2 linked regions of the Canis lupus familiaris genome follow. The protein of the gene in region 1 purifies or fractionates together with the protein of each later gene. This does not show direct contact. Links are inferred from orthologs where the notes say so. Each region holds a gene or a part of one and is shown on either strand. Other genes may lie near its edges.

What was found.
Region 2: the proteins of MLF1 (region 1) and DNAJB6 purify together in Homo sapiens (affinity purification with mass spectrometry; 3 studies listed by BioGRID and IntAct, counting the BioPlex papers as one, with this or other methods). This does not show direct contact. The link is inferred for Canis lupus familiaris from reciprocal best matches to the Homo sapiens genes MLF1 and DNAJB6.

The regions. Positions count from the first base shown.
Region 1 is NC_049244.1:52,483,165-52,486,966, forward strand, and holds part of MLF1 (myeloid leukemia factor 1), read left to right. Parts: intron 1-1,988; coding exon 1,989-2,099; intron 2,100-3,400; coding exon 3,401-3,529; intron 3,530-3,802. UniProt on the Homo sapiens protein: Involved in lineage commitment of primary hemopoietic progenitors by restricting erythroid formation and enhancing myeloid formation.
Region 2 is NC_049237.1:20,508,494-20,512,751, forward strand, and holds the start of DNAJB6 (dnaJ homolog subfamily B member 6), read left to right. Parts: upstream 1-1,385; 5' UTR 1,386-1,489; intron 1,490-1,917; exon of another isoform or gene 1,918-1,967; intron 1,968-4,258. UniProt on the Homo sapiens protein: Has a stimulatory effect on the ATPase activity of HSP70 in a dose-dependent and time-dependent manner and hence acts as a co-chaperone of HSP70. Plays an indispensable role in the organization of KRT8/KRT18 filaments.

The sequences.
Region 1 (3,802 bases):
GGAGGAGAAGCTCCGAGCAGCCTGACTTTGGAACGTCTCCTGCGGACGCATCTCCGCTCCTATGAGGAAGTTTCTTCGTGTCGTGTTAGACTTCGGTCATTTGTCTGCCGGAAGCCTGACACAGCGCGTTTGTCCTTCCTGATCACGTTCTCAGGAGACAAATGACAGATTAAACAAGCAGTTATAGCGGAGTTTCCAGTAAAATGATCCGAAGTCGAGCGCTACGGGAGCGCAGATAGAAAAACGCGTGTTACCCAGACCTCTTGGGGTGGTGGCATGGAGGTTAATGGGAGAAGATTTCTGGAACCTTATGGATAAGAGGAGTTAGCAGGAAAAGCAGGGAGGGGAGAAAAATGTTCGGCGCCCTGGAGCGTGAGCTGGGGAGTAAAGGCAGGAGGGTAACCAGGGACTATTACGGTCCCGGTAGGGTCTGTGGGCATTATCTTAGGAACGGGGGAAGCAGAGGTTAGAAGGGGCTGCGGTGGAGGCAGGGTGGAGGCAGGGAGGCCAGGAGGCCGCTGAAGGGTTCTGGGGACTGTTCTCATGGGTTCCGCTTGGGCAGGGGCTGTGGTGTCTTATTTGAAAGTTCAAGAGGTAAATGGGTAAAAGTTGGGGGCTTCCTGGGTTGAAGGGAGAGTAAAGAGGGAAAAGGAAAGTATTCGCCCGTTTCTTTGGCAGGAGGCATTAGGTGGGATGCCCCTGAGCTGAGGAGCAGCGGCGGGGCGGGCGCGGGGCCTGGGGCTGCGGAAGGGCCGTCTCGGTTGGGCTGTTGGGGTCGGAGGCGCCCCTGCCCCGTGGGGTGGAAGCGCCTGGTGAAGCTGAGCGCGGGGCTGGGCTGCGGGGGACAGGATGTGTCGGTTGAGCCGGTGGGTGCTGCTGGGCCCGGGGAGGCGCCTCCCGGGACCTTCTGTGGGGCGGCCGAGAGCCAGGGGTTCCAGACCAGCAGGGGACGTGCCCCGAGGGCAGGAGGCGGCCGAGGGCGGGGCACAGGTGGGGGGGCCTTTCTCCGTTAAAGACCTAGGATCGGGCAGCCCGGGGCCCAGCGGTTTGGTGCTGCCTCCGGCCCAGGGCGTGACCCCGGGGTCCCGGGATCGAGTCCGCCTGTGGCTCCCTGCGTGGAGCCTGCTCCTCCCTCTGCCTGGGTCTCCGCCTCTCTGTGTGTTTGTCATGAATAAATGAATGAAATCTATAAAAATAAAATAAAGACCTAGGATTTACCCCTGAGAGACCCAGGCGGGGAGGCGGCGGGCCGGGCCGGGCTGCGTGTCCTGTGCCCCGTGTCCCGCGGCGGCCACACGCCGGCACCCGGGCCTCGGGTCTAAGCCCTCGTGGGGCTTCCCTGACCGAGAGCAGATCCCGGCCCCGCGGCCCCACAGCTCCTGTCCCGGGCGCCCGCCCTCGCGGCCCTGGGGCTCCTCCTGCTCCCGCCGCGCCCAGGTGAGCGTGACCCCAAGGGCCCGGGAGCCCACAGGCCCCGGGGCGCCCTGGACCCTGCCCCAAAGGAAGCGGGTCGGGCCACGCGGGGCCGCCGCAGCCACCTCCGGGCCCTCCTCCCGCCTGAAGCTCGGGGACGGGGCGCGGGGGGCACGGGGGGCGCGGGGCGCTCTGCACGCGCAGCTGGGGGCGGCCAAGGGGACGCTAGAAAATTCGTCGGCGCTGGAGTTGTGCCCGCCCAGAGCAGCCACAGGACTGAAGTGGTGACTAGATTGGGTTCTAAGAAGTCGTGTTGGTGAGTGTGTGTTTATGGGCTCGTGCGTGTGCGTGTGCAGGTGCAGGTGCAGGTGCAGGTGCGGGGCCGCAGCGCCGTCCTCACTTACATGCTGGCTGCGTGAGGTGCTGCACGTGCTCTTAGCGAGTGGCTTTCTGCTGTGGCCCTTAACCACCTTCGCCTGGCCCAGGCTGCATGAGGCCCCCCGCGTGAATCCACAGAAAGACGTTTTCAGCTGTTTTGGGAAAGTTGATTTGCTTCCTTTGTGTTGTGCCCACAGTTACTAACACGCCCCAATATCCTGCAGCGCACGGACGTCAGCCCCTTCCAGGCAATGGACCGAATGATGGTGAATATGCGAAACAGCATGCACGAGTTACAGAGGGACCTCGTAAGTACTGAGAAATTGATGAGGACCTTGTTCCGGTGTCGGCACCCCCATACGATAGCGGCTTTCAACTTCTGAAAGTCATGGTCCACGGCGGTTGAAACGTAGATCTTACAGTACGACCCAGTACGCGACACTCGTGTACTGGACGGGTAAACCTGAAACCCAAGTTTTGTGAGAAAATGACCACGCTATTTACGGTGTGTGCTTATATTTTCTATTTCAGTTCATATTTTAAAAATCCTGGTCACAACCCACCAAACTGATTTCACAACCTACAAGTCTGAAAAATCACAGTAATTAACTTTCAAAATTAAGAAAAAAATACCTCAAACATTTATACTGCGTGGAAGGTCACTATTATATAAATGAACGTTTTATATGAATCTAGACTTTTTAATTATTTATAACTTATCTACTTAAAAGGATTTATAGGGATCCCTGGGTGGCTCAGCGGTTTGGCGCCTGCCTTTGGCCCAGGGCGCAATCCCGTGTCGGGCTCCCGGCATGGAGCCTGCTTCTCCCTCCTCCTGTGTCTCTGCACCTCTCTGTCTCTCTCTATCATTCATAAATAAATAAATAAATAAATAAATAAATCTTTAAAAAATTTTAAAAAGGGATTTATAACAGCTAAGAAATTAACTGTTAGTGTTTTTTTGTTTTGTTTTGTTTTTGTTTTTGTTTTTTTTTAAACATGAAAACAGACATTTCAGGAATGATGTTTGGGCATGGGATTAGATCCATACAGTCCAAGTGGTTATAAGCCAGTGTTAATACTCTTATTCTACTCATGGTATTAACATCAAAAAAATAACTTGATTTAATATGAAGAAGACTCATACTATTGTAGTCATCTAGTTTAGAATTTAAGGATCATTTTAGAATGCCCAAATGTAGGGCATTATCAGTGATTTTCGTAATCTAGCTCAATCTGGCACCCACAGGAGGTATAGAACTTGCTGGCATATGGCTCGTTGGCGGGTGTTGGCAAACTCGCGCCCCGTGTCAACCACTGACTCTAAAAGCATCACAGGCTTCAGGGCGCAGCATCTAAAGTTAAACCTAAGCCGCAGTCTTTGATCACGAAGACTTAGATCTCTGAGTCACTTCTTGTTGTTTTCCTCACAAGAAGGGTGAGGATTGGTACAAGTGAGGACCTGCCTGGGTGCCACTGGCTATACCACACGACAGTATGGAGACCCTAGAAGAACGTTAGTTACTATAGTTACTTACTTGACTCCTCTGACGTCAGTTCTGCATATTTGACTAAACTCTCTGGACTTACGATTTATATTTGCCCCCAGGGTCACCTTTCACTGGATCCAAATGGACATTCGTTTAGTTCTTCCTCAGTCATGACTTACTCCAAAGTAGGAGATGAACCACCGAAGGTTTTCCAGGCCTCAACTCAAACCCGTAGGGCTCCAGGCGGAGTGAGTAGTTTCTGAGCATTTCTTGGAGCTTATCGACTTGTGGGATGATGGATCGCCCGTATCAGATTTTAATCATTAAAGCTTGACCTGGTACCCCGGGGGTAGGGATGAGGGAGGAAGACACGTATCACCGCAACAAGTGATACTATGAAAAACGATAATGCTAATGACTGTATTTACTTACTTAAAGCCATTTCTTTCTCCCCTCACCCCGACCTCCGATGCCTTTTATTCATGTGAATGTCTGTTGATGTTTATCATTACCTTTACATG
Region 2 (4,258 bases), on another chromosome or scaffold:
CAAGAGAATGCTGGGGTGGGGGATCAGTTCCAGGAGGGGGGCAGGGGAGGGTCTGCAAGTGGGGGTGGGGAGGTCAGTTCCAGGAGGGGAGAAGCTGAGGCTCTGCAGGTGGGGGTGGGGGTCAGTTCCAGGAGTGGGGCAGCTAGGGCTCTGCAGGTGGGGATGGGGGTCAGTTCCAGGAGGGGGCAGCTGAGGCTCTGCAGGTGGGGGTGGGGGTCAGTTCCAGGAGGAGAGCAGCAGAGGCTCTGCAGGTGGGGGTGGGGGTCAGTTCCAGGAGGGGGGCAGCTGAGGCTCTGCAGGTGGGGGTGGGGATCAGTTCCTGGAGGGGGGCAGCTGAGGCTCTGCAGGTGGGGATGGGGGTCAGTTCCAGGAGGGGGGCAGGGGAGGGTCTGCAGGTGGGGATGGGGGTCAGTTCCAGGAGTGGGGCAGCTAGGGCTCTGCAGGTGGGGATGTGGGTCAGTTCCAGGAGGGGGCAGCTGAGGCTCTGCAGGTGGGGGTGGGGGTGGGGGTCAGTTCCAGGAGGAGAGCAGCAGAGGCTCTGCAGGTGGGGGTGGGGGTCAGTTCCAGGAGGAGAGCAGCTGAGGCTCTGCAGGTGGGGGTGGGGATCAGTTCCAGGAGGAGAGCAGCTGAGGCTCTGCAGGTGGGGATGGGGGTCAGTTCCAGGAGGGGGGCTGCTGAGGCTCTGCAGGTGGGGGTGGGGGTCAGTTCCAGGAGGGGGGCAGGGGAGGGTCTGCAGGTGGGGGTGGGGGTCAGTTCCAGGAGGGGGGGGAGGGGAGGCTCTGCAGGTGGGGGTGGGGGTCAGTTCCAGGAGGGGGGCAGCTGAGGCTCTGCAGGTGGGGGTGGGGGTCAGTTCCAGGAGGGGGGCAGGGGAGGGTCTGCAGGTGGGGATGGGGGTCAGTTCCAGGAGGGGGGCAGGGGAGGGTCTGCAGGTGGGGATGGGGGTCAGTTCCAGGAGGGGGGCAGCTGAGGCTCTGCAGGTGGGGGTGGGGGTCAGTTCCAGGAGGGGGGCAGGGGAGGCTCTGCGGTCCCTGGAGCCGCGGTCACCTTGTTTTCCTGCTACTAGAGGGGACACGACAAAGAGCACTGTCGCGGGGGGCGGCGGGCGCGGGCCCGGCCTCCTGACCGGCCGCCCAGGCTGAGTGTGTGTGACGGCCGCCGCTCGGTGGGGTGGGCGCGGGACAGCACCCCCGGGGGCGCCGGGACGCCGCGGCTGGCCCTTCCCTTCCACCCCCGCCCAAGCCGGGCCTCGACGAACCTTCGGGAACGCGGGCGGGGCGGGGCGCATGCGCGGCGTCAGGGCCGGGCGGAAGTGTACGTCGCCGTGCCGCCGCCGCGTGACGCACTTCCTGTTTGTTGTCGGAGAAAGGAGAGAAAGGAAAGCGCGAGGAGCCGCCGCCGCCGCCGCTGCCAGCGCCGCTGTGCCGGAGCCGAGGGGACCCGGGCCGCCGCCCCGCCGCGCCTCCTGCCCGCCGCCGGCTCCCTGTCCTGGGTGAGCGTCGCCCTCGGGCGGGGGGCGGGCCTGGGACCGGTGTGGGGCCGCGCCGGGGCGGGGGGCTCGGGCCCGGGGTCGGGGATCTGGGGCCTGCCGTGGGGCCGGCCTTCCGAGGTGAGCGTCGGGCTGGGGTGTCTGCGGGCTGCCGGGCCGGGGCCGGGGGCGCGGGCGCGGCGGGTGGGGGTGGCGGGGCCCGGGCCGGCGGTGAGGCCGGGGCGGCGGGGGCGGGCGGCGGGCGTGGGCGTCGGGCTGGGTGCACGGGGGCCCGGCCCGGGGCGGGGCCGGGGTCAGGAGTCGCGGCCCGGGGCGGGGGCGGGCCCCGGGGTCGGGGCGGCCTTCGCCCTTGGTTCGCCCCGCGCCGGCGGTTGGGCCGGGGCTCGGGCGGGGGGCGGGCTGGGCGGGGGCCCCGCCGCGGGAAGGCAGGTTTTTACTCTTCATAAAGCCCCACGTGGATGACCCCAAAGCCAGAGACGAGGTAGGTCTGCAGAGGGTGGCAGTCTGGGGGAGGACGCCCCGAACACGGAGACCAGGAAGCGGCTCCGGGAGACGCGAAGCCGCGTTCCCGGAACTTCCCACTAATTGTTTAAAAGTTTTCGGATGAGCAAAACGCCCGGATCTCACCCAAACAGCCGGTTTGGTCTGTTGCTTCAGAGTGTGTCATGATTTATAGGAGTGAGGTTTACGTCAGCCTGTGCCCAAGGAAGGGGACAATTGAGGCACGGAGGGTAGGTGGCCTACCGTGTGGTCCCGGAAGGTCTTCGAGCGAGCCCGGGGTTGGCAGGGGGGCGGGGGGGGGGGGGGAGGTTCGGCTCTGGCCGGGACTAGTCGGCTGCCAGCGAGAGGAGGGGTTAGCAAGCCCGTGGAACTTGTTGCTGCTTTTCTGCTGTAATCGTGTCGAATAATGATGCGGGTCCAAATGTTTCCGCACTGTGCTTCCCTCCCGCGTCTCCCAGATACCCCAACCCCCGGTTCCCTGGGAAGTTCATAATGTGCACTTTTAACTACTTTGGGGTTAGTACTTGCGTGTTTGTGTAACAAAAGGATGTGTGGTTTTTATGCATAGTAGCCGGTAAGTGGTGGAATGTTCTGGATAAGGCGCATGGGAGTTGGGGAAGTACATTGGCTTGGTGGGGTGGGCTGAGCCTAAGCCTCAACTTGTTGCTTAGGGTTTGGGACTTAAGGAGCAGTTAGGGGATTTCACAGGAGTTCAGCACCCACTTAAAAAATCTGTGTTTTAAATTTGTTTCCTTGATTTGAGATTGGTGTATTTGAGAGGTTTTTCTGGCTGCGGGACAGACTTATCCGGAGGGCTGGGTGGAGAGCGGTGTTTAATATTCTGAAGACTAAATTATGGACGAGGAATGATAGTACACCTGCAATTAAGTGGCACACAATAGCTTTTGTCTTTCAGCAAGCCCATTATTTTTCGTAGGTGTAAATATTAAGAGTAGAACCATTTTCCTCTGTTTTCACTTTGTTTTTGGACATCTTTATTATTTATTTTAAAGGATGTATATTTTTTAAGATCTTATTTATTTATTCATGAGAGAGAGAGGCATAGGGAGAAGCAGGCTCCATGCAGGGAACCTGATGCGCGACTCGGTCCCAGGACTCCAGGATCACACCCTGGGCCGAAGGCAGACGCTAAACCACTGAGCCACCCAGGGCTCCCCTGTTTTGGACACTTTTAAAACGATTCTACTCCCTACCATTAGTAGTTTCTGACTCGCAAACTCAAAAACCAGGTTGGGGCAGGGGATGGTGTTTGCATATTTTTTAGTTTGTTTTATTTAAGAGGGCACTTTAAAATTCAGTAAGTTTATAATTTTATTTACTTAACTTATTTTAAAGGCTTGCTTTATTTATTGGAGAGAGTGAGCTCAGCAAGGGCAGAGGGAGAAGCAGAGTAGGGAGCCTGCCCTGGGGCTCCATCCCAGATCTCAGGACCCTGGGATCTTGACCAGAGCCATCCAGCCGCCCTTAGTGAGTTATTTTAAATTCACTTTTCAGGGTTGCAGTGTACTACTGTTACCTTGGTGATGTTCTGTTACCTTCCACAGTTGCTGGGACTGCCCATTACAGGTCATCTGCTGTGTTAGTTAAGGGTTGAGGGTGATTGCATGCCTTTTCTGTTGCAGGATGGTAAGGATTAAGTGAATGGAATCAGCCTCTATTTGTAAATTAGAAAGGCTTTTTTTCTTGGAAATCTAAAATTTAGAGTGGGGGTGGTCTGAGAACTCTGGTTTGCTTTAAATTTGTTCAGAACACCACCTAGTGGTGAAATAGGCGTAATTGCAGGTTTATTAGGGAATTTAGGATGGGGACAGTGGCCAACAGGAATTAACAAATGCTGTCGTTTCTCTTTGATAAATAAGATTTGTGAGAACTTGAAATTCAGGAGGTAAATGAGAAGAACAGCAAGGTTGGTGAAGATAAGAATAGTGGTAGAAATTATAATGTAGGAATGGAAGGACGATTGACTAATTGTAATCTCTACCTTGACCTCGGCGCTTGAACTCACAACTTTAAGATCAGGAGTCACATGTTCTACCAATTGAATTAGCCAGGTGCCCTGGAAAGACTATTTTATTTTAATTTTTAAAAGATTTTATTTATTTATTCATGGCAGACACAGAGAGAGAGAGAGAGAGAGAGAGAGGCAGAGACACAGGCAGAGGGAGAAACAGGCTCCATGCAGGGAGCCCGACGTGGTACTCAATCCCAGGTCTCCAGGATCACACCCCAGGCTGAAGGCGGCGCTAAACT